Linked DNA regions of Drosophila melanogaster. The gene in region 3 interacts genetically with the main gene of each other region. Each region holds a gene or a part of one and is shown on either strand. Other genes may lie near its edges.

Region 1 (8,489 bases), on a different chromosome or scaffold from region 3:
TAAATAAATGAAATGGCATGCATTTACAGGATGCTAATGGATATCGGGGCTATGATGATGAGCCAGGTAATTGGCTTTTTTTTCTTTTCACATAACAATTTCCCCGGCATATCGAACGATCTTTAAATTATTACTCATCGAGTTAGGTGACATATAAAAATCCAGTAAAGGTAAATCACCGAATTAATTTAATCACATTTCTAATGAAACATTAAATATCGAAAAAAGAGTCCCTTGTTTAGAAATAAAGGGTAGTATTCAACGTTTTAAAATTAACAAAAGAACCATATCCCCCAGCTGTCCTGGTTTTGACAATGAAAAGTTTTCTATATACATATAAAAGATAAAATTACCTTCATAAAGTTTGGGGAGCACTGCATGGCAGTTAGACACGCCAATCCCAATGAGCCACCCTTGTGGGCGAGAAAAGCGCTTGGAACCAGTGGGACTCGATGATTCCGACACAATAAAAAAAGTTACACCAGAAGCGCTATATAAACGCCATAAATAGAATAGGCCCCCGAGCTCTAACATTTATAATCCTAATAAAATGCTACGTATTACGATTTTCTTATAAAGACGAAGGAATTTTCTTATAAAGACGAAGGAATAAAAGCGCACTCAAATTTATGCAACTTCCAATTGAAATGGTGGTAAGCTTCGAGTTTTATAAGCCTCGAGTTTCATACAACAAATTATGAGATGAAGTTAATATATGTATTTATAGTACCCTCGGTATAGGTATAATTTGGATCATGACACTCTTGATGGTTCATTCCTTTCCCGAGTTCCTTCCTTTAAATTTTTGTTCATCCACCGATCACAAACAGTTGTGCAACATCATAAGCCCCTGCCTGTCCGGCGAAACCCACGTCAACTGTACCCAATTGGACATTTTACATGCCCTTCGGCCTTACATCCTCTCAGTCCTGCGATTGGCATATGTACTATATGCCGAACCCCAGCTACTCGAGGGAAAAAGAAGAAGCGGCACAAGAGGACGATGACGACGACGAGGATGAGGATGAGAATGAGGTTGAGGGAGCTGAAGAGCTGAAAGTGGTATATATAGTCTGTCCTCTTGCTCGTCGTATATCCCTCAACGGCAATTCCGCTTTCAGGGTTTTATGTCAGAGCTCTTAACGCGCTGGGGTTTCAATTTTGTTTTGGGGCGCAGCCGTGTGGCAGTAACCTGAGCCAAAGTTGTTGTGTTTGCATTGATGTTGCTTCTTCTTCGCGTTGTACCTTTATCGGGCAGCCCCCGAGCACCTTACCCTACACTCGTAGGTATTTCGCCTGTAAGAGTGCTATATTCAAGCCGTCGCCGTCAGTCGAGTCTGACGACGTCGGTCGGAAATCCTTGAAACGAAAGTCCTGAAGCTCCTGCTCAGCTTCTGCTGCCCAGGAGGGTTGCCATCGTATGGCGAAACTTTGCCGCAACCGGAACGGATGGCGATGTAGCAATGGCGATGTGGCGTATCCAACGCTCCATAGACCCGGTTGTGTAATCGTAGCGCCCTCAATCGACACTGCGACAAAAGTTTAATACACTTTCTACATATTTCCGATATGTCTTGACTTAGCAACTTCATAACTTATAATGTAGCTAACAGGTATATATATTTATCTTAAATACTATATAACAAAACCAACAAGCGATTACGTTTCTTTCAGTGCACTTACATATATGCTCTGCAATCTGTAGGTGCGAGTGTGATTGTGAGTGTCCACCTTCTGGCACCGCAAGGTCCCTCACCGGGATGCTGCGCTGCTGGCATCCTCTTCCCCCATATATCCTCAGCCCTTCGGACTTCGCCCTCCGCAGCCCACCTCCGGCTGTACTCCCATCTAGAATTGATGTAGCACCTACGGTGCGCCCTCTCCATCTGCCCACTTCCGGAGCTTCTGTTCCACGCACGTTCAACTTCAACTTCGTTGCAGGTCATTCGGACTCGTTCAGTCTCATCCCACATCCCACCATCGCGTAAAGTTTTAGAGGACGAACGTAAAGTTTTAGCGCTGATTGTTAGTCTCGCTGGGGCGAGTGGAAAGTTGCCTTATAGCTTGGAAACCTGGTCAAAGACCCAGATAGCCGTGCCATGAGAACAGATATATGGGTGCATCACCTTGACAATGTCAATCTTTGTTACTATTCAAGTGAACGGTGGGTAAACGTATTCGTTTTGAAACATGTTATTCAAGAACAATTACATAATATTTATATTCATTTTATATGCGTGTTTGAAGCTTGTATTTGATTTACAAATAGTTAGTTTACGCTTGCTTGTTTGTTTTAAATTAAATACACATTTTCAGTGAAATAACGCAGTTTTCATAAAGCCTATCTTATACCCTGCAGAGGGTACTCAAAGATCTAAACATACTTATAACCTAAGGCACATGTTTTTGGTTTGGTACTTATTCTAAGGATTTGTCCATTTCCTCACTCTTTTTCGCAGCGGACTCAAAGATCTTCTCCAGCTGCGTGAGCAGGCCAATGGCTCGATAGTTCTCCTCCATTAGGACGAATTCCTCCAGGGGCTTCAGTAGACGCAGTGCGTCCTTGTAGCTTTCTACGCAGCGCGGCAGATGTGCCTCATCGCTGGTCTCTGAATAATGACCGGGACTATTGGCTGGAAGTAGTTCCGTATCCTCAGGCAATGACTCATTGAGCGATTGAATCTTCTGAATCTTCAAGCCACATGGTATTGGGCCGCCGTTCTCGTCTGATTTTCGTTTAGTAGCCCTTTCTGGCAAATCCTCATTATCATTATGCTCATCGTCATTATCCTCATCATCCTTTATTTCTATGAGCTCAGGTGGCACTTCAATGGCCACGCAATCATCGTCTTCTTCGTGCTCAAATTCTTCGGGTTTTGGTTCCACCTGTGGGCATTGGTCCACCTCTGGCTTGTCGCTCTGGCTCAGTTCTTCCTGCGACTTCTTGTGGTCCAGCGTGATCTTATGTTCATTCCGGCCGCAATAACTAACTATATCTCTTAGGTCCAGGGAAAGCGGCAAGCGGCGGTTCGTCACCTGAACTCCCACCGTGAAATTAAAGTTATAGCGACTCTTAAAGTGCTTCAACCACACTTTGTCGGGAAAGAAGGAGTCGATTTTGAGGATGTCCCTTAAACTAATGGCCACAAAGCGCAAATTGTCTAGGTCAAGACGACCCTGGCGAACCAACTGTGATCGCTGGATGTACTCATAAACGCATTTCTCCAGGAACGCTAACTTTCGCTTTCTACGCAGGTGCACTTCATCCGAGGTGGCTTGATTTTGGCTAGAGGTGGTGACCAATGTCTTTGTACGATAAAGAGGTCGATCACTGCTAGTGAGCGCAGGTTCCGGCGATCTAGGCGCTAAGCTACAAGACATCGAGGTGTGTCGTCCACAGTACGACATAATGTCCCTCAAGTCCATAGATCGTGGTGGTCGGCGGACTATCGTGATCTGACGATTCGACAGTGTTATATTATAGGCGGCCTTGAAGTGATTGATCCACGGTTTGTTCGGCACAAAACCATCGAGTTGCATGAGATCCCGGAACTCGATCGCACGGTTGCGGATCATCTCCTCGTTCACATCGCTGTGGAGGTAAAACTGGGCCCTCTGGATGTACTCGTACAGGCAGTGGCCCAGAAAGTTCAGCTTGCGCCGGCGCAGCTCGGCATCCTTATTGGCCGGCTGGCTGAGCCGATTGGTGGCCTTGTGGAACTCCAGGATGGCTTCCCGATTGGAGACTATGCTCTTGATTTGCTCCCAGCTGCAATTAAAGTTCCTCGCAATCTTACTGTACATGGGCACAATGTCGTACTGTCGGATGGCAGCCACACGCTCCTCCAAAGTCAGCACGTTCCGTATGCGATGCGATCCATTCGAGTTTTTGTGGGTGTCATCATTCTGAAATTGAATCATGGTTTATTTCTTTATAAAATCCGATTTCTAGGCTTAGTTACATGTATGTTATTGATACAGAACTCAAATTATCTGTATGCGTGTATATCATGAATGCCTTATACATATTTATGTATGTATATTTACAAAACATGCCCTCTTCTTATTCGCAAATGGGTCTCGCATATTTTAGCTCAGAGATAACAAATTTCAAAAGATTTTACTAAAACGAAGCATTGCACTCTCACTTACTCACTACGAAAGTATACTTACGTCAGAGTACATTTCCACTCCCGCTCTCACACTTTCAGGTTCTCCACTCTCTCTTAGCGTGCTCGCACTCCCAGTCTGGCCCCCCCTCCTCACGTGACCAATATAATTCTGTTCCTTTAACAATGAAATTAAAACGAAATAGTTATTATACAGAGAAGAGCTAGAAATCTTGTTTACATACCTCAGTCGGAAAGCTTAGAGCATAAAGTACACTTTGTTGAAAATATACAGCAGTTTTTTAGGCACATTAAACAGAAAATATGTGCGGTCGCACGTGTTTAAAGTTGCCAGAGCGAGTGCAACTCAATGACTGAGCATGCGGTCCGAACATTGCAGAGATCTGGACTCTCCTCCGTTTGGCGGAGCGGCAAAAACCGTATCTTTGCGAGAGACATTCCGCTCTTTCTCTCGCGATCTAAACCGACTTCCCACGTTCCGATTCCGATCGTGGTGGTATTCGTTCGCGGTATGGGATTTATTTTCGGATCGAGAGTAAATATTCTCTCGCTAAAGCAGCTATAACTGGTTTAACATGCCGAAAAACACAAATCGCATTACCACCTAATCTGAGCTGAAACTGGTTTGATATGTACACATACATATATATAAAGCTATTTTTGCTCAAATTATATCTAGTGCTTAATTTAACGTTTACCACATTTAAGTGGGACCCTGTTGGTTATTCCACTCTATAAACTCTTTTCGCATATTACAATTATTTACACATTTTGGGTCTTGACTCTCAAAGGCAGGACACACGAACATTTTAATTGTAGATTACATATAAAAACTAAACTTTATTTTTGTGGCGTCAATAAGATCATAGATCGAAATCCTCGTTCTGAGGCGGATTTAAAACTGATTTTTCAACTTCAGTAAGTAGTCCAATGGCCCGATAGTTATCATTTAACATGGCGTACTCCTGTAAGACCTTCACGTAGGCCAAGGCCATATTTTTACAGTCGATGGATTTCAGTGAATTTTGTAAGGAAGCGACTACTTTGGGGTCCACATCGTCTTGACTGGTCTCATTTTCCTCCTGTCATTGAGTCATTTATCGTTACGTTAGTTCTATTACAGTCCAAGGACCTGTTTACTTACCTCAACTGCTGCCGTGTCGTGAGATTCAACAGTCTAAAAAAAAACATTCCAAAATTAAACACATTTTTCAGGTTGAAGAAACAACTAACCTCCTTGATCTCATCTTTTAAGGTCGTTTCCTTTTCCAATGACCCAATTTCCTCTTCATCGGTAAATTCACCATGCTAAGAAAATTAATAATAAGTGCTAATGTTACTGTTGATCTACTTGTACACACCCACCTCTATCTCTATTTTAATTATAGCTTCTTCAGAATCCGTACGCACGCGTACTTCTAATTTTTTCGACTTCGCCTGCAATAATAGTATTAATTTATGTTGCGACTTTTCAATAGTGTCATACCATTATTGGCGTTTTGTTGGCTTTCTTATTTCCTGCCGCTTTTGCTTTTTCATCATCAGACCATTTTTTACACACCTTACAAAGTTTGGATGGACGATTCTTAGTCAGCTTTCTTAGGTATTCACACCTCTTACAGCCACTTTTAATTAGACCGCTTTGTTGCTAGGATTAGTTTTATATTTACTAGCATTTAACTTATCCTTTATATGTTTGGCTATACTCACCAAGCTTACAGCTTCCTTCCACTTGTTGGTTTTTGCATTTAACATATTTCTAGGTTTCTAAAAAAGCATATCGAGTTCAGTCGAAATTCGATCAGAATTCGATGAGAGTTTTCATGAAAACATGGATGGATATTGGAAGCGCAATGAAAATATGTATAAGTTCTTTTGTAACGGTTCTTACATTGATCAGCTTTGGTTTCTCAGTAAGTTGCTCAGTTTTGTCCATCTTGGCCTCCGTCAGCTGGACCAGGCGATCCCGCCACCTGCGGCAGATTCTCTTGGTCTTGCGCTGTTCCTGCACCAGTGAGATTGAGCTGCCCACTTGGAACTCGCGCTGTGTGGGATCGGTCTTTGCCTGGATTTTGTTCCTCATCTCCACCATTTGCTCTATGTATTGTTTGACCTTGATGATTTCGGCATCCTGCAGGCCAATCAGAATGTCCCTGTACTTCCCAATAAGTCCTTTGAAACGTATCACTTGCATGGCAAGCATCATGGACTGCGCCTTGTAGGACGTACGCTTCGAGTTATTCTTCTCCTTCTGGATGACAGTGCGCAGCTGATCGAGCTCGCCATAGGTATCATTAAGGTAGCGGATGGCATTACGAAGATTTGACTCCGCTGTGGCAAAGGCGGTAGCATCCGGTGGACGAAATCCTGGCGGGGCAGGACCCAGTGCAAATAACCGGGACTGCAAGTTGTCCGATAAATTGGATTCCTTTTCCATAAATTTAACAAAACTTAGACTTCCACAATATGCTTTTTTGTAGACTTCAGATTGGTATTGCCCATCCGATGCATTTAGGGTTGCAATTTCGAAGTTATCGATAAAGTTTGCTTCATTTGATCAATATTGCATAATACTATAACTTTTTATTAACTGTATTACATGTTTTCACGATACTAGTTAATTCTTTTCAATTATGTTTGAATTTTCTATTTTGTGCAACCGAAGGTCTTTTCTTGAACCTTTAGTGTCATATTGGTGCTGCCAGATTTTTCGGTTTTTGTCAATTTCCAAGACGAACTTGCTTACAGATCGGCGTTGATCTCGGCAGGATTCACTTTGTTACTCTTCAAAATACTAATAAGATTTCAGAAATGTTGGTTTTTCTTGTGAAATTCCTTTAGATTGTTGTAACTATAGGTTTTAGAAAACGGTATTGCCACAGCGCAATATTTTAGCCAATACCCAAGCCAGATTTGTTTAGAACCAGATTCATTTTTCAGTGGTGTTAGCAAGTGCATGAACCATATTTAAATAAAGTAAATTAAAGTATATATATTATAAAATATTAAAATCTTAAATATAGAGGTATAAATTAGGTATGTGCCTTATCTTATCTTTGCTTTTCCAGTAGATTACGTGCTTGTTTATAAGGACACTACGTTTGATCCACCTCGAAGTCCTTGATCTGGGCTGGATATTGAATGGCGTGCTCCACCTGTATTAGCAGTCCTATGGCCCTGAAATTATCATGGATCATGGCGTACTCCTGGAGCGCTCTTAGGTGTCTCAATGCCTCTTCGTCGTTGCTGATGGAGATCTCGGCCGCAGACTCTGACAAATCATTAGTATTGGGTTCGGCGGCATTAAAGACTGTAAACTGTTCCCCATCCCGCTGCCGATCCGTTTGCACTTCGTAGTCCTTCTGGATCTTGATATCGACATCATCCAATGGCTGCTTTCGTTTGCGATACGTACGCATTTGGCGGGGAATAACTGTGCTGACAGTGGTGCCCATAGACAGCATCCTGCCTTTCTGGATACCGGTCTCCAAACTGACCACCGCTTCATCGAAATCATTGATGGAAAGTTCCTGCGGCGGTGGGACAGGGTCATCCTTTAGAATTTCGGACATCTCGTCGTAGAACTGCCAGTTTGGATGGAAATGCGGTACCTTCGCCAGGAGCTTGCTCCTTATGCTATAGTAGGTCTTCTTCAGGTTCCTAAATTTTCGATCCAGCTGAACTGCATCGATATCTGTCATTCCCTGGCTTTCAAGGGCAACGACCATTTCCCCCCAAATGTCCTTGATCTTTTTTTTCGGATCCCGAAAATCAGCTTGGCGTTCATTGTAAAGGGACAATAAAAGTCGGGTGTTGGATGTACACCACTTCCTTTCGTAAGCTGGCTTATTGTGAGTATATATATAGTTTTCTTCTTGAATTTATGTTTTTTACTCACACTTTGTATCCATTGTTTACAATAGCTATTCAGTTGATGACGAATAAGTTTTGTTTCCCAGGCTGCCAGTTCTTTCGGACGGCGTAAGAGAAAGGTATCATGATCCAAACATATGTGTTTCGATTTTTCTCTATCGATAACTATCGAAAAGGTTGCACGAAACAAAGATGGGAATAGGCTTTCGTTTTTTGAAAATGGATTTTTTGCCTAATCTATATCAATACTCGCTACCGAAGAGAACATTTATTTTATATAAATACTCATCTTAGCCTCATTTAATTGCCATTATGTAGTTTTTGAATTTAAAAATCTCGCAGTAAGGATTTAGTGAGTACTTGCCGCAGGTTGAGACCTCCCGCAACTTAATTATAGAAAGTTAATATTGAAATGGACCTACATACATTACAAATAAGCACATAACTATTACTGTGCTGCCATCTACCGGCAATGCGACTTTCATT
Region 2 (7,066 bases), on a different chromosome or scaffold from region 3:
TGCAACCCGATCTCGTCCTCTTCGATCGCGGCGAGGCCTACGACAGCATCATCAATCTGGTCAACCAAGGCTGTATGCCAGCCGAGTTCAAGTGGAAGAGGCTGGAGACCACCGAGGTGTACATAGGCGACGAGGATGACCCGAATGGCATAGCTGGTGAAATTCTCTCCGAGATTCTGCGGATGCTGGAGTACGACTTCAGCTGCGAGGACCAGCCAAATATGACAAAGAGATACCAGGAGTGTCGCTGCCAGTTTCGTCGATTTGAGGAGGAGGGCGATTTTATTCTGGATCTCCTGGACGACGTCATCAACGATATGGACTTGAGGCACAAGCCATTGCTATTCCCGCCAAAGGATCCCACCGACGACCTGGAGGACAGCGATCAGAGCTCGACAAGTGTGGTGCGGGAAACCATATCGGACATTCTTAATCGCTTGCACATCGATTCCAGCGATCAGTGGTCGGAGCCTTCTTCGGAGTATTGCTTCTCGAGTCGCTTCATCTATTTCTACGAGAAGAGAGGCGTTGTCGATCACATGGATTTGGAGTGCAAGCTCCATCTGCCGCACATCCGGCGGAACCACGAGATGCGGGCCGTCTTTGAGTTGGTCATCCTGGGCGGACGTACTCAGCGATTCACCGTTACACTGGTCAATCTGCCGCAGAAGATAAAGTTCCACAAGGAGAGCATCTACATGGGCATTAAGGTGGGTATACTAACTATTGGAAACCATTAGAAAAGATTATGTCAATACATTTATCTAAATACTAGCCCTGGTACGAGACCTTCGATACCACGCTGCGTGTCAACAACTTGAGCAGGTATCCGCTCCAGTTGGTTGTCGTCGAGGTGAAGGCCCCGGGCAGCAAGGAGCAGGCCCGCGAGAAGCGTCTGGTGGACGGGTACTGCAAGCTGGTGACCAGTGATATTATGCAGCTGGAGCCACTCGGAGCGAATCAGATACGTGTGAAGGGCATTCTCGGTTTCAGCGAGAGCTTCCGCCATTCCTTCGGAGCGATGATCAACAACAGCGACTCCAGCTACTTTCATCTGAGGGGGCAGGGCGTTATGCCCATGCTGGAAATGGCTTCTCCACTGCCTTCTGCGCCTATGGATCCCTTGGAGGTGGAGGAGGAGTACCGGATGCTGCAAAAGATTTATCACTACGAGATATTTCGCTCCATCACGGAGGTCGATGAAGAGCCGAAACGCGCGGATGGCGAGGAGGAGAACCAAGTGGAGGAAAAACCATCCATCACCGAGGATTTCTCTTTGCTCTCCGCCAGCGAGTCCGAAATGTCCTCCGAGCGGAAGGAAGCGCACGATTTTCAACTCTTCCGCATGGTCCACACCTACGTGATGGTGAACAACAACCAGGAGCTGCCCCATGCCACCGTCCTGAGGCAACTGATCCTGGCGGAGCGGTACCTAAAGCGACTCCGCTCAAATCAGGAGTTGTACAAGCTGCACCAGCAGGTCCATCAAACCTACCAAAAGATGCACAATTCACCGGGACTCAAACAGTCGGCTATGGTGAAGCACTTCACCGTCCAACCCATTCCGTGCGAGCAGCACGGTTACGTCCTTGACCTGGGTTCCATGGCCAGGAACTCCGTGCGGCGCTTCCAGCTAAAGCTGCACTTCTTCGGACCCGGCAAACTCATTGCAGCAGCACGCACGGCCGTCAGGATTCCGGGCTTATATGTGGACTTCAATGTCACGGATGCCAAGCAGTAAGTAGTATAATCTGATGCATTTTAATTTATAAGAAACTCAAATAATATCAATATCCCTAAGCTCCGACAAAAAGTTCTCCTTCTGGGCTGAGAAGTGCACGGCACTGGAGTATTTTAAGAAAAAGTACAGGAATATGATGGAGCGACTGATGGACGCGGAGCAGGATCCCAAGGTGAAGCACGCCCACTCCTTTGACCTGGACACTATGGTCCAGCACCAGCGGGATCTGGCGCCCAAGGACCGACGCCTAATCGAGGAATACTACAACAGCCTGAACCGTTCCGTTTATCCAGACCACAAGCACCACTTCACGCTGGCCAAGATCTTCTCAGGCTGCTTGTCCAACTATTCCGGAGTGGACGTGACCATGGTTGGGCTCTTTAAGCCGGAGTCGCGGTTCTACAAGAAGGATCAGCACGTGGAGGACTACCTCTTCATCGATGTAAGTTACACTGACATAAGCTGAGCTAATCCTTAAATGCTAACACGTATCCCACAGTTGCACATGGGACCGACTCTTCCCATCCTACTGAAGGCCGTGCTCGTATCCTAGTGAAGTCCTTAAGATTTGTATGCATTTATTGTGGGTTTCATTCCATTCGGAGTGTATGGGGGCTTCTTAGTCTTATGTGCAGTAATAAAGCTTATACTCCAAAGTCCTCAGCAGTACATGTTGAGCTGGCGGAAGAAGTAGTGGAAAATGAGCAGAACGCAGAAGGAGCTGGTCACGGGCAGACCAGCCGCCTTGATCCATCCGAGGATGTTGAAGTCGTCCGGGTAGAACTCGAACTGCTCCGTGGGTATCTCGCCGCAGTTGGAGATCACCACGGGTTCCACGGGGAAGTCATCCGTATCGGTTTTTACCTGGAACGAAAAATGTGTCAGAAAAAGTTTCTTACATTTCTGTGTGGTGGCTATGCGTTTAAGCCACGATTGTGGTTCCGGTTTGCTTGAATACTCACATCCTCAATGGCATAGATGGTGTCCATTCCCTCCAGCACCTTGCCGAAAACGGTGTGCTTTCCGTCCAGCCACTTGGCGCCCACGGTGGTCACATAAAACTGGCAGCCATTGGTGTCCGGGCCCCGATTGGCCATGCCCAAGTAACCGGGTCTGTTGTGCTCCACCGCCAGAGCCTTATCCTCGTCCGGAAAGTAGTCCCCATAGATGCTAATGGAGCCAGTTCCGTCGCCGTTCACAATGTCGCCGCCTTGGACGAGAAAGCGGTCCACCACGCGATGGAATCGCGAGCCCACGTAGCTGGTCCCGTTGATGCCGCGCAAGCAAATGTGCCGGAAGTTGGCCACCGTCTTGGGAGCCAGCTTCCCGAACAGTCCAAACGTGATCCTGCCCACCGGCTTCTTGTTGTGCTTCACATCCATGTAGATCCGAGACGTGACCGTGAAGCTCAGACCACTGGCCACGGCCAGAAAGGCGCTGCACAGGATTATCCGATTGAGCAATGACTTCATGATTTTACGGACCTAACGCGCTGATGAAATACACGTAACTGAAACGAAGACTGGACTGTGGAAACTATACGAGTAGAAAGTCAATTCTGGGTCGCGGGCCTGGAAACGGAAGCCACAAAAGTTTCAGGTTAAGTGCAAGCACCGCATGATGATGGCATACCCTCTGCAGACATCGATTTCAGCACCCGGCAGCAAACATCTTGTTCGGTTTAATGGCAAACGTAATGTTTGGCTCAACTATGTTAATAACTAAAACTTCAAAAGTATCGTTTCTAAAAGTGCATTCAATTCGTTTCACTAAATAAATCAACTGCATTGGCTTTGCATCATATGACTTGATATTTAATTGTGTAAATTTAAACTTATAAATATTTAACCTTATGGTAATCAGCATAATAATAAAGTTAGCGGGGCAGGGAATTGAACCCAGATCTTAGGCTAAAAACTTAGGGATAGACTGCGTCTACACAAAAATATACCGAATACATATATACACTTAGATTAACTTGCGGCGGCTAACCTGGATACAGTCTTCATGTGGGGACTCGATTTCGGAAATCTTGGCCTCCGTTGCGCGTCTGAGATCTATGCAGCTGAATCTTCCGCAGAAGATTCGGGTAGGTCCTACAAGCGCTTCTTCTGCGGATGCACATACTTGCAGTTCTTGCCCATGTTGCAGTGTCCTCGCATGAACTGCTTGCAGACGCCGGTGTTGCCATTGCCTCCTCCACCTCCTCGATTGGGGCCAGATCCTGCTGAGCGCCAGTTGCCGCCGGAGTTCTCCTGGAAGTTGTTGCCCCCGCTGCGCCAGATGCCGCCGCCGTTGTTTTTGTTCCTGTTGTTGTTGTTGTTGTTATTCCTAGGTCCGCCCATCATCAGTCCTGGCCCCATTCCATTGGGCGGCCCGTTCATCATGGGTCCATTGGGTGGGCCGTTCATCATGGGGCCGTTGGGTCCCATCACTGGACCATTGGGTCCCATTACCGGTCCCGGACCTGGTCCATTCATCATCATGGGCGGGTACTGATTGAATCCAGGTGGTGGGCCGCTTCCGAATGGAGACACTGGACTTCCAAACTGATTGCCCATAAAGTTTTGCGGTGGCATGTTGTTCATGTTCATATTGCTCATATCCATTCCGGGGCCACCGGGTCCGTTCATCATGGGCGGTACACCGGGCGGCCCACCTACCGGACCCATTTGGTTCTGCCAGATTTGCGGCGTTCCGTTGGGCACTTGATTTGGCATCATGTTTGGTCCGGGTGGCATTCCCGTGGGAGCAGGCATGCCTCCCATGAACGGATCGAATGGATTTTGCATTAGGTTCGGTCCAGCTCCCAGTCCGGTCAACATATTGTCATTGAAGCCCATGTCCGATCCGCTGATATTTGCTCCGACTCCCGAGCTAGGCGCGTATTTCTTGGGCTCCGGCCACGCCAAGGCACTGTAGTCGTTGACAGCATCCGGATTCCCCGTCAGGTCATCCATGGGTATCACGGGAATGTCATGAGCAAAATGCGGTTCCAGTTCCGCCTCCGCAGGACTGTCGGGAATCATGTCGGGCGAGAAGTACAGGGCTCTTAGAGTGGTGGCCTCCCTGTCCATCTGCACCTGGCGCTGCTTGGAGAGGTTTCCGTTCGGGTGGTCGGGCACATTATCGACTTCGAGTAGTGGCCGCCACTCCATTTGCGGCTCCATGGTATCGTCGAATCCACGCCGAGCAATGGTCAGCGCGTCCCGCTCGCTGAATCGCTCCATGTTCTTCATTTCCAGGAAGGTCTGCTTCATCACATTTACGCGCTCTGAGCGATCGACCTCGAAGTATCGTATCTGGGTGAGCTTTTCCTCTGACTGCCAGGTTAGCTTCTTTTTCGGGCCCTTGCGGCGGTGCAGCGTGAGCACTCCCGGTGGTCCATCGGGTCCACAGCCAGGTCCAGGCTTCTTGGGCTCCTCGGGAAGATCTTCAGCGTTGTCAGAGGTGTTACCCGCTTCTCCGCCTTCTCCGCCTGCCGCAGCCTTCGCCTTCTGCACCTTTTGCTCGATGTCCTCCTTGACCCTCTTAAGGGGAATGTCGTCGTCATCGGCATCCGTGTCCTTGCCAGGTGACGAGGAGCGCGCATCATCGTTTTCCTTGCTGCTGTCGTCCGACTTCTCCTCGCTCTTCGACTCGTCCAGAGTATCCTGGTAGAACTTAAGCGGCGCCAGTGGCGCGTCCTTGTCCGTGGGCGATGTTGCAGACGTACGCTTGCGCTTCACCACCTTTTTGGGTTCGATGGAGGCGGCCAGGGCGTCCGAGAACAGGTTGGTCTCCACCAGGGTTTGAACTGGAAAAATGAGGGTAAAGTAAGTAATCGCTCCAGTAATTGGTTTAGTTAAGAAAATGTTTAAGTGGCCTTCGTTGAATGGCCCATTGGCTTTGGTGGATTTTGCTTTTGCTGGAAATTGCTAGAAGTAAAAAAGTTATGGAAAGAAACAATCTGATCTGGACACACACATTTGTTGTGTTTATGATTGATTGATTAAGTTTACCCACATTTCGATAATTAATGAAATGGGAGTCTCTCTACTGGAATAAGCACCGAATATATACCAAAACCTAGAACTACTAAACAATTCATGAATTTTCCCCAAAAGTTCTTTAAAAGTTTTGGCTTGCTCGACTTTATTCGGTATAATTTCATATATAAATGTCAAAATGTAATTATTCGACTTTTTTTTATTTAACTAGTTTTTCAACACAAATAGTGTTTAATCATCATAATTAAAATAGTTATAAGCTCTCATTGCGATTGAAACTTGAGAAGTACGCTTATTAAAAGTGTATTGCTAAGACTACTAGTTATACGCAATAGTTAAACCTCTTTAAACTTTGATGCTTTTAGTATATTTATGTCAGCACATCGATAAGTGTCATTGGGTTTCCTCAGCACTAATCTACCCAAGGAACCCGACACTGCGATCAGATTACGCGCACCGTGCAGCTTACTGCCAAGGTGACGCATCCGCTGATGACGCACTACGACGAGGATGTGGGTAAACTAGGGTTGCCTGCTCTAGCGAGGCGAACAATTGTGGAGACCCTCGGTGACGCACGACAGCAAAATCGAGGCCAAAGCAAAGCAGCTGGGACTCAAGCCCACGGTGGTGATCGAACCACCTACCAACTTATAGAACCGCCAGCTTAAGTCAATATTTTCGTTTTCGTTTCTTTTGCGCTCAATGCATTTTTTTATTCAATAGAAAAATCGTATTTTTCTAGAGGAAACCGTATTTTATTTGTAAGTCTTTAAGGTGGGCTGCTCGCCAAGTGAATCTACATACCTTATAGCTAAGCTAAGCTAAATACGTTCAAGATTTGAGGTTTGAATACTTAACATCAGGCAGCGACAACGACGACGACGACGGCGGCGGCGGCATCGTCTGTGCCTCAGATTTCGTTTTCGTTCGGTCTCAGCGCATGCGCAGTGCCCAGATTTCGGGATTCAACTCCATTCAACTTCATCCGCCGTCATCCGGAATTGAGGTCATAGACTCACACTCGGGCAGCTTGCAGTTCAAACTCGATCCGGGGATAACACCGCCACGATTGATACATTATAATGCAAAGTACCCACACTAAAAGGCCCCACTTCTGCTCTACAATTTAAGACCCGCCCCAAGCAAAATTAAACACCTTGAGAATGGAATGGAGATCAACAAATAATACGGCGGAGTTCGACATTCGACTCCGATCGAAAACAAAAGCAAAAGCCACCAAAGTTCTTGGGCTGTGGAATAAAATAGAGAAGAGCATTAATAGTGATTCTAGCATCTGTTGCTTACTCTTTTTGGGCGCTATCAGCTTGGCGGCTCC
Region 3 (8,548 bases):
GCGTATCTTCGCAGAGAATTGCAGCACTGATCCTCCGGTTTGGGTCCATGAACGGCGTGATCCAAATGAACCAGATTGGGGATCGCGTGCAATGCCCCCAGCTCGCACATAGCGTGTCGGTGCTCCTCATCGAAGCTCACCTTCATCAGTGAAGAGATGGCGGCCAGCGGATGACGGTCGGAGTCATCTGCAATAGCCTCTCCGCCACTCTGGAGCAGCGTCTTCAGGAAGGAGCAGTAGTCAACGATCTGGTCAAGCAGTCGGAGCACCTTGGCTTCCCTTCTGCCAGCCTTCTCGTCCGGATGGCTGTGCACCACATTGTGCAGCGCCTGTCCAGCACACTTCCTCACCTCCTGGTCGTTGTCCGGTGCATGCATCATCTGCACCAGAAGCGGCATGCAACCAGAGCGTCTAAGAGTTGCACAACTTTGAGCATTTCCGGACAGCTCCAGGAACTTTTTGGCCATTTCGAGAGGATCATTTGAGCCCAACATGGAGAGCAGTGAGTAAACACACTCCACCTTGGATCCCAAGGTGGCTTCCACTGCCGAGGAGGTGTATCGCTCATCGAAGCTGGTCGTCCAGGCAGCTCCCTTGGGCAGCCTTGGAGCAGGGGCAGGTGCATCTCCGTCCAGAAATCGGGAGAGCGTGTAAGATGGTTCCTTGCTGCGCGATGGACGACCTGCGCTGGCTGGAGAGCCGCCTCCATTCCTCGGAGGCAATTCATCCAGCTGCTGCTGCTGCGCCGACTGTCGCTCGAAGTTCCTGTCCAGGCTGCGATGTTCTCTCATCTCCCGCAGCTCCTGGGCCAACATGTAGTCCGGCGGAATGGGGTTCTCGTCCAGAAAATGCTTGGCTGCTGGTTTTTTACCAACGGCTCCGGATCCCAGTCCGACTGCGCTCTGGGTGAAGTGCAGCGTGTTGTCGTCCTGGGTGAACTCCTTCTTGGTATAGCCACTGGCGGCCAGTTCGTAGTCGCTCACTTCGCCATCCCGCTCGTACTTCTTGTCCATCTTTAGCTGCTCCCCGGAACTGGCCCCAAAGCCTTCTTCATAGTCTGGCGGGGGCACTGCGTCGTAGTCGAGGAAGTGCGGCTTACGCTCTGGCACCGAGTCCACATCCACGTCCTCCAGACTGAGCTCGGCGATGCCCTCCTCCAGATCGGGCGTCAGCGTTGGCTCCAACATGGCCTGGCGGGAATCGGGGACTAGGGATTCGGGGTCTCAGTGGTGCAAGTCAATGCTCCATGGCCTGCAAGGAAAGCAGATAGGAAAACACAGTGAGCGAAGGCACAATTGAGACTCTAGATTGCTATAAATTTAGTGCCGGACCAGGGCGTGGGCTAATTATAGACGCACCACCACCACCACCACTCTGCCCGCCAATCTCTGTAGTAATCCGATGGGCAAAACTCAAACAGAGACGAGTCAGCTAGTTGCATGGATGCATATAAGACATATTAGATGTGGGCAGCGCTAAGAAAGGCAACAGTATTAAGTTTAAAAGGTGATTCGATGGAAAATATAGCAAAAATGTAAAAAGGCATAGGCGTGTGTCTCGAAAAAGATGATATTGAATGTATATATTTCTTTTTTCTTAACACTCATTCGAAGCTCAACTTAATTATAGTTTATTTAACTGAGGAAAGTTAAAACAGCAAGTTAAGCATGGGAAAATATTGGCAGTCGTCAGTTTAGTGCCTACACTTAACTCATCATGAGCATATGACTCGCTTTATGATCGATGGAAACTATGTATGTCAGCTTTATGATATGAAAATCCAGCCAAGATAAATGCTATCTTAAGCGGTGAAGTCATTGCGCCAAATTTTAAGGAAATGATCCAAAGCCTCAAGTTTCTTGTAGTTCTTGTTGTTTTATTTTAGAACACCACATAAAATATAAAAGCGAAATATATAAATTCATCTTAATGGGAAACCAATTTAATAGCTTTTCACTTTTTAATTGGCCGACCCCTATCTATCTATAAGGTTGCTCGGTAGGATCGACTTTCTAAGCAGATGCTTGGATGCTGTTGTATCCCAGAAGAATTCGCCTATTGTGGCAGGTTCTGTGCATTGCCTGCTCTATCGCTCTGTAACTTAATCATCGGCCAACATTCAGGTGGCGGCAGCCACAATAGCAAATGAGCAGCTAAGTCATTATCATGATTAGCTGGCGCTGCATCTTTTTAGAAAGTTAGCGGCACACGGCGTCGTCTTTGCGGAATTTCCAGTGCATGAAGAAAGATACAGATGCGTTTTCAGCAGATATATTATATTGCCTCGGCTCTCATTGTTGTTGCTACACACACTCCATAAGCACAAGACATATTTCTCATTTGAGCTACCGTTGAATTATGTGCAAATGCAATTTGGTGCTGCACTTCTTTTTTTTCAGCTGTTATTGTAGCGTAAAATTGAGCGTGGACGGACAGAAGTGCATAAATATGTATGTACACAGAGAGAAAATAACGTAACTAACGTAAGGTCACTATTAAGTTATTTACACAACTTTAATCAAGGGTCAAATAAATCCTTGGGGTTCTTAAATCAATCTACAAAGTGTCTTAAAGTATGGCACAATTTATTTACTGCATAATTTTAGATATCGAATGAAAAGGAATATAACAAATGATTTGATACCTTGTATTTTCAAGCATTTTTTCACTGTGTACCCAATCCAATTCAAGACTTCAAGTGGATTGAGTTTGGGATTGGGAATGACCCGGGTCGTGTACCAGTTCTGGCTCCGCACAAGTCGACTTGTTCAAGCTCCAATTGGCAAATTAATCAAATTTTAATTGCGACCAGCGTAAAGAGCGAAAACAGCCGGCGAACGAAAAGTGGTAACCGCAATTTGAGTGGCTGTGAAATGCAAATCGCTTGTGTAACAGCGGAAATGCATCCATCCATCCAAGCCACTCGATTGGAATGCCGCACTGGACACAGTGGCCATCGTTCATCATTGCCGATCGATTGTTTGCCTAGGCCTCAAATATATAAAATATGTGATCAGCCGGCACTATCACCGCCTTGATAAGGCACACAGTTCGGCTCCACCGATTAACATTTAGCAAGAGTCACGATATCAGTGCTCTCGAGGCCAAGAATTCGAAAGACGAACAGAGCAGAGTAGAGCGATTCGATGAATCAACGATCCGCGAATTAGACAAACACAAGTATCTAGATACGACATAGATACTTTTAGTACCCCAAAGAATGCGAGAATATGCGTCACTTGTCTAGCCAAGAGCCGTGTACCCGGTCCCCCAGAGACGACTCCTCGTGTCATTAACCGGCCAGCGAGTCGCACAAGGGAATCAGCCCTGCACAATGGACACAATTCGACTCCAAGCGTTTCGAGTCAACTGTATTGGGAAACTAAATTGGTTCGCATAGTTAGCGAAAACAGAAACAACCCCACGCTTTGAAATAAAATACAAGTGCCATAGTTTAGCGGATAGAAAGTGAATCAGACTGACAAACTTTTAGTCACCCAGTTTCTATTTCTTTCAGAGATAACGAGATTTCAAAAACAAATGTGACTTATTGCTTGAATAACACTTGCTTAGTAAGACTTACTAAGCACTTACTTAAACTGATAGGTGTAAAAGAATAAATAAAAGTGTTTATTTGATAATTGTATATCCAAATATTTGCATAATTAAATGAATTATGAGAATGAACAATTCCATTTTTGGTAATATGCATATAAATTAAGCATTTGTGTAGCATGGGTGGATCAGATTTGGATTTTGAAAGATAAAGCTTCATCACCTTATAGAGGGTAAGGTCTTAAAAGTTATTTTAAACCGACATATGAATACCTAATTTGGAAAGTGTAATTTGTTGTGATAAAATGAATACTAGGTTGAAATATTTGAAAGAGGGAAATATTTTTTTTGGCAGATTGATGATCTGAAGGGTGGTTTTCGTCACACCCTCCCCTAAAAATGGTACAATTACAATTACAATTAGAAGGGAATAGCAAAAATAAAAAATATTTCTCCAATAAGTGAATTCCCATTAAGCTAATAACCAATTTTGCCACCACATCGCCCCATCCCACCCACTGTGCGGTTTTTTGGCTTGGCACACATTTTGCATACGAAATATTCGCGGCAGAATTATCAAAGAAAAAAGAATGGAAGATTTGCGGGGGAAGGAAAAGCGGTAAAGATGATGACACCGCGAGCCATCAAACCACAGGGAAATGTACGCAAAAACATTAAATAATGAAACTACATACTAACTACTGTACATATGTACATATGTATGTACTTATGATTTCTGTGTGTGCATTTATGAGCTGGTTTAATGAACGCCACTTTTGTTTTGCTGCCCGGTTGTTTTGTGTCTTTGCCGCCGCGAGATGATGATTATGTAAATTGTAGAAAAGTAAAAGGGAAACTAAATACGAGCGCATGCAGTGTGGAATTGTGTTTTCCTTTTCTCCCATGTTTGTGGGCATGTAAGACAATCGAGCGTGCCGATATTAACGTATTTTCCTTAATGCGGTGATTAATTATGCTGAGGTGAAGTTGAATGGAAGTGCTCGAAAATAGTTATCAATTAGGCGTGCCACAATCACTTGCAGCTGTTGGAAAACTAAAACGAAAACAACAACAACGAAACAAACGAAACACACTGCGTTTTCCAACTGATAAAGGAGCACTCACACACATAGACACACACATGCACGCACTTTGCACACCCACACTAGGGCGCAGTCGCGTTCTGATTGGGACCTTTATTGATTTTTCCTGTAAAAGGAATCGGCAGGAGAACAGGAAACTACTAAAGAGTATCTCATGCTCCAAGTTGAGCTAAACACATTTGTATTCGCCAGCTGTATATGGTGCGCATTTATTGAGTAAACATTCTGCGTTTTATTGTCAGGCCCAAAAAGAACAATTCCAATTGGAAGAGTCAGCGACTATACTCCCACACACACACGAACCCAGAGATTCTCCGATTGGCGTACCTTGACTAAAAACACAATTTCTCGGCAGCTTCCTCGCCCACCAGATGACACATTTCCCGCTTTATCACTTGTTTGCCCACAGATATTGCCACTATTTGGATTCTTGGCTTGTTTCGCGACAAAACAAATACGCAGCGCGGCCGAAATTCCGAGTCCGCTTATCAACAAAAATTGCGACCAACCGCGGCGAGCAGTGTGACTGTTATATCGAGAATTCGAAAAACCAACAAGAAATAGCTGCTAGGGATGGGAGAATGTAGCGATATCTTGGGATCATATATATCGCTTGAATATTTACTTCGTTCGTAATATATTTATACTGCAATTTATTTTCTAACCTTAAAGATTTAGTGCTTATATTTTATTCATTATATATCTCGGTTAAGTAATACGTACACCGTTAATTTAAAAGAAAAAATTTAAAAAAAAATGGGATAGAGTTAATGGGGCCGAGTCAGACCAACGCTATGGACTGCATATTAAAACGGATTTGGTATTGTTTTGTTTGTTAAATTATTGAATACATTGAATGAATGTGCCTCCAAAACTGTAACTGCGAATTGGTTCGGGTCTTAGCTAGACCATAAATACCGGTGTGACCGTCACCGCTAAAATGAAAATTCCCTCAAAAATGCAATAGTAAATAATCCATCGCTTAGCAACTGGCCACACTGCAACGTATATAAGCCGACGAATCCCGAATTTTGTTGTTGTTCTTCAAACAGCTGAGCGGCGGACGGATATTTGTTGTTGCTGCGCCCGGGAAGCTGCGCAGCGGAGAACGCGAAAAATAATAAAACGCAAAAAATAGCGAAAATTAAACGCGTTGCAAGTGCAGCAGAAAACAACGGTAATAATTCGCGAAGCCAAGGGACAAGCAATTTAAATTGCGCACAGTGTAGAAATCCAATTGGAAGTTCGGCTGGGAGTCCCAAATTCGTATTGATTTTCTTGTTTGTGTGTGCGCGGGTCCGTGAAAAAGGCAACAAAAGCAAAGCCACCACTTCCAGACTTCCCAATCAGCCACTTCCTTTTCTTCCACCTAGCGGTAATCATTGCCAATTGGAACCGCGATCGTTGCCTTCCAGCGACAACAACAATGTAGCAAGTGTATTTTCTGCTTGTAGTTGTAGTTATTAAACAAGATAAAGTGCGAGAAAGAGAAGGAGATAGACAACAACAAAAGCGAAAGTTTTATTGAGTGCGTAGATGTGTACGAGTGTGTATGTGTGCTATTGCGAAAAATTGTTGATAAATATTGGCCGTTATAAATGCGAATTCAAATGCAGATATTTGCCGATGAAAAGGGTGTTTCCTCAAAAAACCGTTGATTAATTATAAATGCAAGGAGTGGCCGGCTAAGTTGGATTTTTTCGGCTTAACTTGCAGCGAAGCAGCAGCGACAAAATGTGGATACCTTCGAACAACAAATACGGAGTTGGTGAGTAAATAATAAGAGTAGGCGGTGTGCCACCCACTTTTCCAAGCTACCCACCACCCCCCGCTGGGCGTCACGTGCGCGGCCTTTGTTTTTATTGCTGCCTTTTGCGGCGATTCACGCGTTTTTCCGCGAAACGCCGGATACCATGCCAACCACCCCCGCACGTTACCGAGCGGGGAGGAAAAGCGACTTTTCTACTTATTTTTGTACACAAACTGTTTGTAGCATCATCATCCCCCAGTTCACCGCACCGCCCCCCCCCCCTTTCCATGCAGCGTGTAGTGTATCTCAAAGAGATTTCCCTGTTTGTTGTTGCTGCCGCTGCGCTGCGATTTGATGTGTTTATACACACAGTTTTCCGCGCGCTCAGTTTTCCCGCACAGCGCTCGGCTGTCGCGTTGCCAATTTCCCCCCAGCCCAGGTGTTGCCAATTTAAATGCTTTCGTAATTACGAACACCTAAAAAAATGTTTATTTCGCAGACAAAATATATATTTGTCCAAGTTCATATGGTTGATTTTGATTTGAAACGTTTCTCTGATTCTGATCTGAAAATAACTACATCTTAATTATATTTCCTAGTATGCTAATATAAAACCTACTCGGTAGATAGAATATAGAAATGGGAAAGAAAAACGCTTCAGTGCACATGGTAAAAACTATTTAAGATCTCAAGAATCGAAACTTGCTTGCTATGGACTTTATTTTTCTCGTTACACATTTTACTTGGAATATGTTGCTGGTTTCTCTTGATATATATATTATATCTATAATATTATATCTATTATCAAGCTTTAAGCAGAATAAATAAACAGCAAATATATTTTTGCCTGCACCACAGTCTACATTTAAACGGTTACCACTGTGTAACCGGCGTGGAAAATCAAGTTGCGTGTTGTGATAACACACATGCGAATAATACAAGTGAATCTTGGATATTCTTTGGGCAGCACAATGTGCTGGTCTTGGTTTCTCCTCGACTGGGATGCTCCATTATCTTCGCATTCGTCGCACTTCTCGCTTCAATGGCAGCGCTTAACAAATTACTGCGGGGACAGGGCAGGGAAGTAGTCAACAAAATAAAATAAGACAAAATAAAACAAAATAAAATAAAAGAGCCAGCGAACGACAACGGATGATTTGCTGCGGACGATGTACTACGTACAGCATCTTCAGTGGCAGACTCTGTGCCAAGTTTTATTCATTGTGCCGCTTCAATGGGTTTTCTTCGCCCAGATAAGCACCAATATTCATTGTTTATGGGATGCTCTACCCAAGGGAATATGTCCTACGATGTAATGCCTAAAATGTTTCCATAAAATTAATAAATATTGCTTGATCAGTTTGGCATTCTATATTGCTTCTATCTTGGTGGTAAAGGGTATGCAGTCTTCGTCAGTACCATCCAAGTACTCTTCATTACAGCTCCGTTTTTGTGCTCCAGTCGCTCCAGTTCGCCATCAATCGTGGCGACAGCTATTGGCTGCTGTGCGCTGACATTTGCTCCACATTCAACCCGGCAGAGATTGACATGAGAGCGGTCAGAGTTTACACAAATCAATCAGTCAGTCAGTCATCGGGCAATCCAGCGATCCAGGCTGGTTTAGCATCATTAGCGATACGAGGCGCTGGCAAGCCAACGCCCTAACCTTGCACAATGCCCAGTCCCGCCTCCTTGCGCACACTTTGGACCTACTTCCTTGGTTCCCGGCCCACTGTCCTCCTCCTGTCGTTCTGTCCTTTCATCTGGGAGCGCCACGTGCTGGCCAACTGCAACTGCTGGGCAATGACTTCATTACCAGCGCGTTCTTTGTCCGCAGCCCTTGGTTCTGCGCTTCTTCCCCTATAAGTAATTATTGTACCGCTCCTGCTGCACATACAGTCGAACATCAATAACTTGAAAGCTGAAACCACCATCTGTCACGGGACGAATCATTTTTCAAATGTATCAGGCTTTTACTCATGTTTACATTCAGTTTTTGTATATTGAGTTCGCACATGAAACTGAAAGCACTTGGGAAAAGTATTTCTTTCATAAACTTTAGGGATAGTTTAATAAACTCTACATAAAGGAAATAATATATATTAATATGGAATTTTAGTAGTATGGTTATAAAGCTATT

Evidence for each region.
Region 1: of Apc (region 3) and CG13895, changing one suppresses a phenotype caused by changing the other (phenotypic suppression), as found in Drosophila melanogaster (one study listed by BioGRID).
Region 2: of Apc (region 3) and ninaA, changing one suppresses a phenotype caused by changing the other (phenotypic suppression), as found in Drosophila melanogaster (one study listed by BioGRID).

The regions. Positions count from the first base shown.
Region 1 is NT_037436.4:703,717-712,205, forward strand, and holds CG13895 (uncharacterized protein), read right to left. Parts: upstream 4,490-8,489; 5' UTR 4,355-4,489; intron 4,288-4,354; 5' UTR 4,186-4,287; coding exon 4,174-4,185; intron 3,984-4,173; coding exon 3,963-3,983; intron 3,907-3,962; coding exon 2,419-3,906; 3' UTR 2,232-2,418; downstream 1-2,231. Other genes in the region: CkIIalpha-i3 (CKII-alpha subunit interactor-3), read right to left, coding at 4,994-5,212, 5,275-5,307, 5,364-5,438, 5,496-5,567, 5,617-5,778, 5,841-5,897, 6,022-6,531, 6,594-6,641; CG13896 (uncharacterized protein), read right to left, coding at 7,226-7,971, 8,029-8,041.
Region 2 is NT_033779.5:873,509-880,574, reverse strand, and holds ninaA (neither inactivation nor afterpotential A), read right to left. Parts: upstream 3,274-7,066; 5' UTR 3,214-3,273; coding exon 2,704-3,213; exon of another isoform or gene 2,606-2,703; coding exon 2,402-2,605; 3' UTR 2,305-2,401; downstream 1-2,304. Other genes in the region: CG15824 (uncharacterized protein), read left to right, coding at 1-710, 776-1,737, 1,802-2,183, 2,241-2,294; PNUTS (phosphatase 1 nuclear targeting subunit), read right to left, coding at 3,838-5,537, 7,036-7,066.
Region 3 is NT_033777.3:28,839,575-28,848,122, forward strand, and holds the start of Apc (APC-like), read right to left. Parts: upstream 5,175-8,548; 5' UTR 4,986-5,174; intron 2,710-4,985; exon of another isoform or gene 2,645-2,709; intron 1,252-2,644; 5' UTR 1,188-1,251; coding exon 1-1,187. Other genes in the region: spg (sponge), read left to right, coding at 6,393-6,426.